Linked DNA regions of Kluyveromyces lactis. The protein of the gene in region 1 interacts with the protein of each later gene in a pairwise test. Links are inferred from orthologs where the notes say so. Each region holds a gene or a part of one and is shown in the gene's direction. Other genes may lie near its edges. The genes, in order: FAR11 and TPD3.

The links.
Region 2: the proteins of FAR11 (region 1) and TPD3 interact in binary tests that used the Saccharomyces cerevisiae proteins (3 or more experiments, as listed by UniProt). The link is inferred for Kluyveromyces lactis from reciprocal best matches to the Saccharomyces cerevisiae genes FAR11 and TPD3.

Annotation. Positions count from the first base shown.
Region 1 is NC_006042.1:2,261,539-2,266,071, reverse strand, and holds FAR11 (Far11p), read left to right. Parts: upstream 1-1,478; coding exon 1,479-4,262; downstream 4,263-4,533. Other genes in the region: TEP1 (putative phosphatidylinositol-3,4,5-trisphosphate 3-phosphatase), read left to right, coding at 1-353; LSM12 (Lsm12p), read right to left, coding at 513-1,070. UniProt on the Saccharomyces cerevisiae protein: Participates in the control of the reentry into the cell cycle following pheromone treatment.
Region 2 is NC_006042.1:726,277-730,393, forward strand, and holds TPD3 (protein phosphatase 2A structural subunit TPD3), read left to right. Parts: upstream 1-1,555; coding exon 1,556-3,388; downstream 3,389-4,117. Other genes in the region: PEX15 (Pex15p), read left to right, coding at 1-1,038; KLLA0_F07711g (endonuclease III domain-containing protein), read right to left, coding at 3,553-4,117. UniProt on the Saccharomyces cerevisiae protein: Phosphatase 2A affects a variety of biological processes in the cell such as transcription, cell cycle progression and cellular morphogenesis, and provides an initial identification of critical substrates for this phosphatase.

The DNA of each region.
Region 1 (4,533 bases):
AGTGTTCTACAGGCAAGGGATCATTAAGGTCGTTAACTTCAAAGCAAATAATAGTTCCAAATATCAACGTAACTTTCTCAGATATCCGTTTATCATTTGGAATCCGTTCAAAGACCTCGCAATTTATAAACAACGTCTCTCACCTAAGCTCTTTTTCAAGTTGCTGGTTAAATCTTTATTGGGAATCTGTGCTTCAGTCAAAGAACCTTGATAATGACTCCAACTACATTTTACCTAAGAATGAACGATTTGAGTTTTATATTCCATGGGAGGAACTTGATGGGTTTAAAGGAACCTCTGGGAAAGGTCTTAAATTATTCGATTCAATTTCTATCCGGTGGATGTTACTTTGAAATTCGGAGTGACGTTAATCGAAGGACAAGCTAGAGATTGCTCCTAGTGGGCATCATCTAAGGCGATGTGTATTCTATCCAGTTTTAATTCCGAACGAAATAAGTTAAATTTTAATCTGTAAATAAATAAACTATATATTTTTACATTGACATCCGGCATCATCCGCCTTTTCTTTCGTTCTCTAATTTATTCCATGCAGATTCAACAATCTTATCTATCAACTCTTTTGATTTGACATCAGTTCTGCCTTGCAATGGTTTAATGCTACCAAGCTGATACGGCGGATTTATTTCCAGCTCATCAAGAACGACAATGGATTTTCCCTTCCATACTATATCTGATATAGTCTTATGAATGAGATCAAATATAAATTGACCCTCATAGGAAACATTTTTTCCAATTGACATTTCCTTTTTAGCAGCTGTGTCTATTGTCTTAGCCAATGCATTTTTCACTCTATCGAGATCAACGTATGACGGTTTTACATGATCTTTCTTGAAACTAGACGGATTAGCCTTCTCTCCTACTAGTTCCAGATGCTTGATAAATGAGGTCTGAATGATCTCAAATGTGTATGCTTTATTTTTCTTGCCCACAATCAAAGTGATGGTGTCATTATTTGAGTTGAATGAATACACTTTTCCTTGCGTTACATGGTCTAAAACATCAGTAATTTTAACTTTGAGGCCAAGAATATTCTCCAGAGAAATGCTCATTTAGTTTGCAATCAAATATAAACTAGCGGCTTCGGCCAGAAAAGCTTGCTGGTCACTCTTCCACGATTGAACATCACGAGTCAAATTCGATTTGTTTCTTACAGATTTTCAGTTTTAATTTGTGTGTATCACATTTTTCAGGCATTTGAATAGTTACTCAAAATCCAAAAAAAAGTAGCATCGCATTCAATCAGACATGTTAGAATAAGAACGTTTGCAACTATACACTTAAACTTTTTAGAAAACGTTACTTTTGTGGTTCAAATACATTGCGAGGTATTGCCTGAACTACTCCCGTGGTTTTCTATTGATAGCGGCTTGAAGAGCTGTTTTCTTTTCAACATTGAATTAACGATTATTCAATTTGAGAGATAGAAAGGAATCCAATATTATTTGTGGATTGCGATAATGCCAGAGACACAGCGGTCAAGATCTCCGCTATTGAAGTCTTTGTCTTCTAAAGATTTGAGGAGCAAGACTCAGGCTAGACCGCCATTTGCAAAACAGCTCTCCAATGAACACCAGACTTTCCCTTCGGATACGTCTTTATTCCATGATCTGGATAGTTTACTTAGCAAGAAATTACATTTGGGTGATTCAAATGAATTGCAGCATGAAAACAACGGCACAGATAGACAATCTAATGAAGCGAACAATAGCAGTGAGATTATTGATACTCAGGATGATGCTAATGGGGAAGAAGATGATGAGGATTCAGAGTTTGCAAATGTCGATGAGATCGATGGACCAATCTCCCCCAGTTCTAGTTCTGGTAGCCTGAAAGATTATTTCCAAGGTTATGATTCATATACTAACGGACAAGCATCACCGAAGCAACTAAGGAAGGTTTCACCCGAATTGAATGACAAAGATAAAATAATTACATATGAGGATGTCAAAGTTGAAGAAGATAATAATTTACCAGTAGACGATGCATTAAAGAAGTTGTTACAAGAAAAAGCAGACGAGATTGAAAGAGGTGATCTTTCACATTCATTTACCAAGCCTACGTTAGATTGGCAGGCTTCCGATTTTAATTCATTATTTCACGAACTATCAGAATGGTTCATACAAAAGGACTATGGGAGCTTAAAGACTGCAAAGTTGAGCTTTGAAAAAAACTATGATAGTTCGAAATTTATCGAAGAGCGTAAATACGCTATTCAAGTTATTACAGAGCTTGGTAAAAAGCTAGAGGTAAATTCAGTGGATATCAATACCTTGCTTTGTCTGGCGTATATTTCTTTCGGAACTTTTCAGGAAACGAACAGTTATTTCCATCATTTAGACATTCTACGGAGGAATAATACTCTATTGATGATGATTTCAAAGGTACTCTTACCTTGCTTTAAGAAACATGCAGATTGTTGTAGGGTGAAGAACACTAATTTGCAACAATATAATACTCTTTTGTTCTACTCGGGTTCAATCACTTATTTTATGATCAATATAGCTATTGAGCAAAGAAGCATGCACACCAAAGCTGTAGAAGATTTTATTGATGTCGTACATTCATCTGGCTTGATGCTTTTCCTTACAAAATATATAGACCATTGGCGTTGGAAAAGTCGACTCTCAATGAGAATAAGAAATATCATTATTTTATTCCATAAAGTGCTTCTATTACAGTTTGGTGAAGAGAGCCATTATGACGCAGTGAAGAGATTTGTTCTTCAACATCACAAAATTGAAAAGAAAGACTCCTCTGCTTCGAATCTTTCAATATCTCCATTGGAATATGTTGCTTTTAGGGAAGATATCACCTCAAGATTTCCATCTTCTCAGCTTCCAGAACCGACATATCCTAGCATGCTTGACAACCCCAATTCTCTTTCACAATTTTTAGAGATTCCGAGACCCCGTTCGAGGAGCAGTTCTAACATGTCGTTGGGAGAGCCACAAGTGCATATGGCAACGCCTGCACCATCACAGCCGGCATCACCCACAAGCTCGCCCAACGGATTGAAAACGAGGAAGTCATTTCAAGCCAATTTATCATATCCAGCATTTTTTCCATCCTCTGGTGACTATGATACTGGTGTGGTAGACGAACTTAGTAATAAGCTGAGTATTGCGGTGCCTGAGACAGTGTTACCGTATAACATGCAAGAAGCAATCGAAATTTTGTCAAAATCTGTGCATATAAAACTATCTACTAAACAACTATGGCATGAAAGAGAATTATTTATGGTGCAAGAACGAGGATGGACAAACACTGAGGTACATGAGAAGGACCCATTCACGTATAGAGGTATACAGAATGAGGAACCTGAAACCATGAATCGCATCGAAGATTATTATGCTAATGCTTTACCCCATTTTTCATCTCTAGTATATGTTCTATTAGAAACTATTGAAACTTGTATGTCAAACAAAGTATACCTTGAAGAGGATTTTTCTGAAGAAGAAATTAATGAGCTTCAACCACAATTGGAACTTATAAGATCAAAGGAAATTGCAATGGAATCGAGTTCTGCCATACTTTTCCTCCTTTTAAAATGGTTTAAGGTTAGCCACTTTCTTAAATTTGAGTATCTTTGCTCGTTGATTTACGATTCAAAGTTCATTACGACAAGCGTAGGCATCCTTCAATCTTTTACTGATCAATATCAAAACAGAATTTACTCTAAACATTTACAACCTACCCATTCTTTTTGGAGTGAATGTTCTTTATACAATGTTCAATATAAAGAAACTCTTGAGATATCAACCGCAAATGAGAAAGCAAACAGATTAAATCTCCGAATGCTCAATTCCGAGGTGTATCTATTACGAGTGTTATCCAAAATAACTGGGAAAAAGACACAAAGGCTAAAAGACCTACCACTTAATGTTAGTAACATATTCAAGGCATTGTATTCTATCTTTAATCTGGACATATACCACCCCATATTAAAGATAATTCACGAATTGGCACCATTCAAGAATAAAAGATGGAGGGCAGATCATATGGAATTGATTTCTGGAGTGTTCTTACATGAGAAACTTCATTTAACAGATAACTGGATAACAGGGAAGGATATCACGGGCGAGATCAACGATTCCTATGGCCAAGAAATTGCTTTACGGGCCATGCTGCAATTCTACAATTTCTATCACTATAAAAGAACTATGGAACATTGCGGGTACGATGACAAATTCTCTAACTCTTTCTTTTCAAGGGAGGCTGAACTACTCTCTGCTCCTTATTAAAAAATATGGCATAATAATAAGTTAAACAAATGTATTATACATGTACTGTATTGATATATATATTATGTATACATGTATGTCTGCATATGTCTTTCCTTCAATCCTTGTGATGGTCACCAAAGTCAATCACGTGACTATTTCACAACCTTTTTCACTTTATGTTTACATCATTGGATACAACAACAGTAGATCGATATTGTTTTGTGAAAATATCAACAAACAAGAACGATTTGTGCGCTAAAGTGAAAGGTAAAAGATGTGAAAAAGAGCC
Region 2 (4,117 bases), about 1.5 Mb from region 1:
ACGAGGTTGGAACAGCTTCTTGATGATGATCGGTTCAGGTTGAATTTACAACCTGTTGATATAGAGAAAGAGCATGCGCAAGAATGCTTAGATCTCTATGTAAAAGGTGACCTTAAGGAATGTCTCGAACTGATGTATGAATATGGGCTGTTGAACAGCAACAAGATGCAAACGTCCTTAAAATCATGGCAATTAATGATGGACTGCGTGAGTCAAATGAATAATGTTGGGGTAATCGGAACGAGTCTAGATAAGCGATTGAAGGAATGGTTCACCAATGAGGAATTACTTCTAAGACTAATCAAGATGAAGCCGTTGAGTGATCAATTGATTATCACGTACCAATTCTTCTATTCTTCCTTGAAATTTTGGAAGAGAAACGTTAAACAAAACTATGAACACATCGATGAATTATCCATTTCATGCAAGGAACTACTCTTACAAACTTCAAGAAGATGCCAAACAGTAACTGAGATTCAAAACCTAAGTCAAATACTAGATTTCTTGATATTTGACGTTCAAATAGAAACGTTACAAAAGAAGGCCAGCATCACGATGTACACTCGATTTTGTCAGCTAGACGACAAATTGCAGAGCAAGCTCAAGGCGAACAAGGTGAAGCACGCTCAATCCGTGGATATAGACACCTATTTCCGCGAAAAACTACAACCTAAACCAAAGCCGAAGCCAAAATCAAAGAGTAGATCGCTGAAGCCAAAAAATCAAGTCCAGATCGGTGCAGCAACTACATCAACGTCGACAACAGCCGTAATAGCACCTGCATCTACGCAAAGGATGAATTTGTCCTATATACGACGCTTGACAACCTATCTACCTAGATGGTTACCTGTCTGGGCTCAATCGGTACAATGGTCACCGCAATTACTGGCATCGCTTATTATCTTCGCAATATCAATGGTACTACCCCTTGCAAGAAGATCAAAAACGTTCAATATCATATGGATGCACAGCAAAGATAAAGCATCCACCATAGTAAGACTTTTCATCCATGCAGTGAACACTTTAGCATCGCTATGAGATGCCTACGCACATATTCATGTATCTATATATTTATCCAAAGTTACCCTACACAACGAACATCTTCATTACCCTACCGAGACCATCAATCACGTGACTTTGGGTTCTCTCCCCCCTTCTTGTCCCCTTCCTCCCTCATAACGTCAGTGGAAGGAAGGAAAACTTGATGAAACTGAGATTTGGATTGTTTGGTGAGAAATCGATGAAAGTCGAAATTTGAAAATAATTAAAAATATACATTTGGGTTTATCAAGAACAAAACATTAGGGTTATACTATCTTTGTATGTTTTCACAATTGGAGAGGACACAAGAGGGCAGAGAAAAAGGTTTGGGCTTCGATTTTACCAGAAGATCAGGAATTTAGACAGTGTACTTATATTTAGAGGAACGAGAACGGTGTGGTAAGCCAAATATCTAACAAATTTCTTTCTCAGTTTCAAGAATAAATTTAATTTCCGCAATTATTACCCAACTTTAGACAGGCTCGGGGAACTTTTTAGCAGTGTAAGAAATAACATGGGCGATAATAGCGACAGTAAAGTGAATCTCTATCCATTAGCTTTGCTAATGGATGAATTGAAGCACGATGATATTTCTAATAGGGTTGAAGCAATGAAAAAACTGGACACCATTGCTTTAGCCTTGGGCGTTCAAAGGACGCGTGATGAATTGATTCCATTTCTAACCGAAGTGGCTCAGGATGATGAAGATGAAGTGTTTGCAGTCTTGGCTGAACAATTAGGTAATTTTGTGCCGTTTGTTGGAGGTAGAAAATATGCCACTCTGCTATTGCCTGCTTTGGAGATTCTTGCATCAACCGAAGAGACGTTGGTGAGAGAAAAAGCAGTTGATTCATTAAATATGGTAGCCGAACAGTTGACTGAGGAACAATTGCTGCATGATTTTGTGCCTTTGATTGAAAATCTTGCCACCAATGAATGGTTTTCTTCCAAAGTATCAGCTTGTGGGTTGTTCAAAGCAGTTTTCGTTAGAATTCAGGATGATAAGTTTAGAAAAGATTTGTTATCGTTGTTCTTGCAATTGATACAGGATGATACTCCAATGGTTAGAAGAGCTGCGGGCAGAAACTTACCTACCCTTGTTGACCAATTGACTGAGCATCCAGAATTGTCAACAGATGACGAATGGGACTATATCTCTAGTATGTTCCAAAGATTGGTCAATGATTCTCAGGATTCGGTGAAATTTTTGGCTGTTGATGTCTTGATCTCAATCTTGAAATTTTTCAATAAGAAAAAGGACTTCACACATACGAAGGATCTATTACAATCTTCCATTCAATTAATCGGGGACGAAGCATGGAGAGTTAGGTACATGGCTGCTGATAGATTCGAGGAACTTGCTTCTCAGTTCGTTTCGAATCCACAATATGTCAGCGAATTGTTAGAACCATTCTTAGCTTTGTGTCAAGATAACGAAAGTGATGTCAGGAAAGCCATCGCAAAACAAATTCCTGGCTACGCAAAATTGCTTAATGACCCATCTGTTATCTTAAATAGAATTATACCTGCTGCTCAGAATCTAAGCATCGATGAAACAGAATGTGTAAGGGCTTCTTTGGCTTTGGAGATTACAAACTTGGCGCCTTTGCTACCAAAGCAAGACTCAATGGATAGTTTAGTTCCAATACTTCTACATATGTTGAAAGATGAATTCCCAGATGTCCGTTTGAATATCATTGCCAAATTGAAAATCGTCAATGAATCTGTCGGAATCGAATTTCTATCTGAGAATTTGCTACCCGCCATTACAGAGCTTGCTAAGGACCCCAATTGGAGAGTAAGATTGGCCATTATTGAATATATTCCTCTTCTCGCAGAACAGTTGGGGATGGAATTCTTTGATTCTAAACTAAGTGATTTGTGTCTATCGTGGTTGTGGGACGGTGTTTACTCTATCAGAAGTGCTGCTATCACAAATCTAAGTAAACTAACTGAAATCTTTGGTTCAGATTGGGCACAAGAAGAAATCATTTCTCGTTTACTAAAGTCGGACACTCAACTGTTAGAAAACTTCAACTATAGAATCACTCTACTATTTGCATTAACTGGGTTGGTCCCCGTTGTCTCCACAGACGTTGTTGTCGAAAAGATTCTACCATTCGTAAATCACTTATCCACAGATAACGTTCCAAACATTAGATTTAACGTTGCAAAGTTCTACGCTGTCATCGTAGAAGCGTTAACGAAAAATACTAATAAGAATCACATTGAACTAATCAATAATACCATTATTCCAACACTAGAAAAACTATGTCAAGATCCTGATGTCGACGTAAGGTTTTTCTCTGCACAGAGTTTAGAAAAATGTAAATCCTTCTTGTCCTAAGCGTAGCAGAATATTATAGGGCAACATCTATATAAACATGAATAATTATCACATTTATCTACACTTTACTATGGCATGTTTTAAGTGGCGGCATAGTACTAGAATTAGTACTAGAATTAGTACTGGATTTGTTACGCGCGATATCTAATTATGTACTCAATAAATCAGTTATCCTCGGTTTTCACTTCAGTATTCGATTCCGTAGAGGTAGTTTCCGCACTTCTATCCACATCATCAATCTCATTCTGCGAGAGTTCAGCTGCTCTCTCTTTTCTAAGGTAATTTATCCATTCCGTGTAATCACCCCTGTTGCTGTTCTTCACCGTATCTTCAAGCTCCAAACCGACTAGTTTCAGTAATTTTTTGTCAACCCCTGGGCAAATATCGTTCACAAGACATAATTCACACCTTTTGCTCCTTGGCATGCAGAGTACCTGTCCAAAGCCCACCAATACTGGATTTATTTCATACCACAAAGATCTCGGTAGCCATGACTCTAACTGTTTTCTAGTATGTTCAGGTGTCTTACAGACTTTAGGATCAACCCACTTCCACATCTTTGCAAGCCTATCAACATGAACATCAACCCCAATACCATCGATCTTGGCCCACGATTTTTGTAAAGCTAAATATCCCATTTTCGGTCCTACTCCCGGTAATGACATGAAGCCTTCTATTGTGGTGGGTACATCACCGTCAAATTGATCTCGGAGCATGACAGCAGCCTTT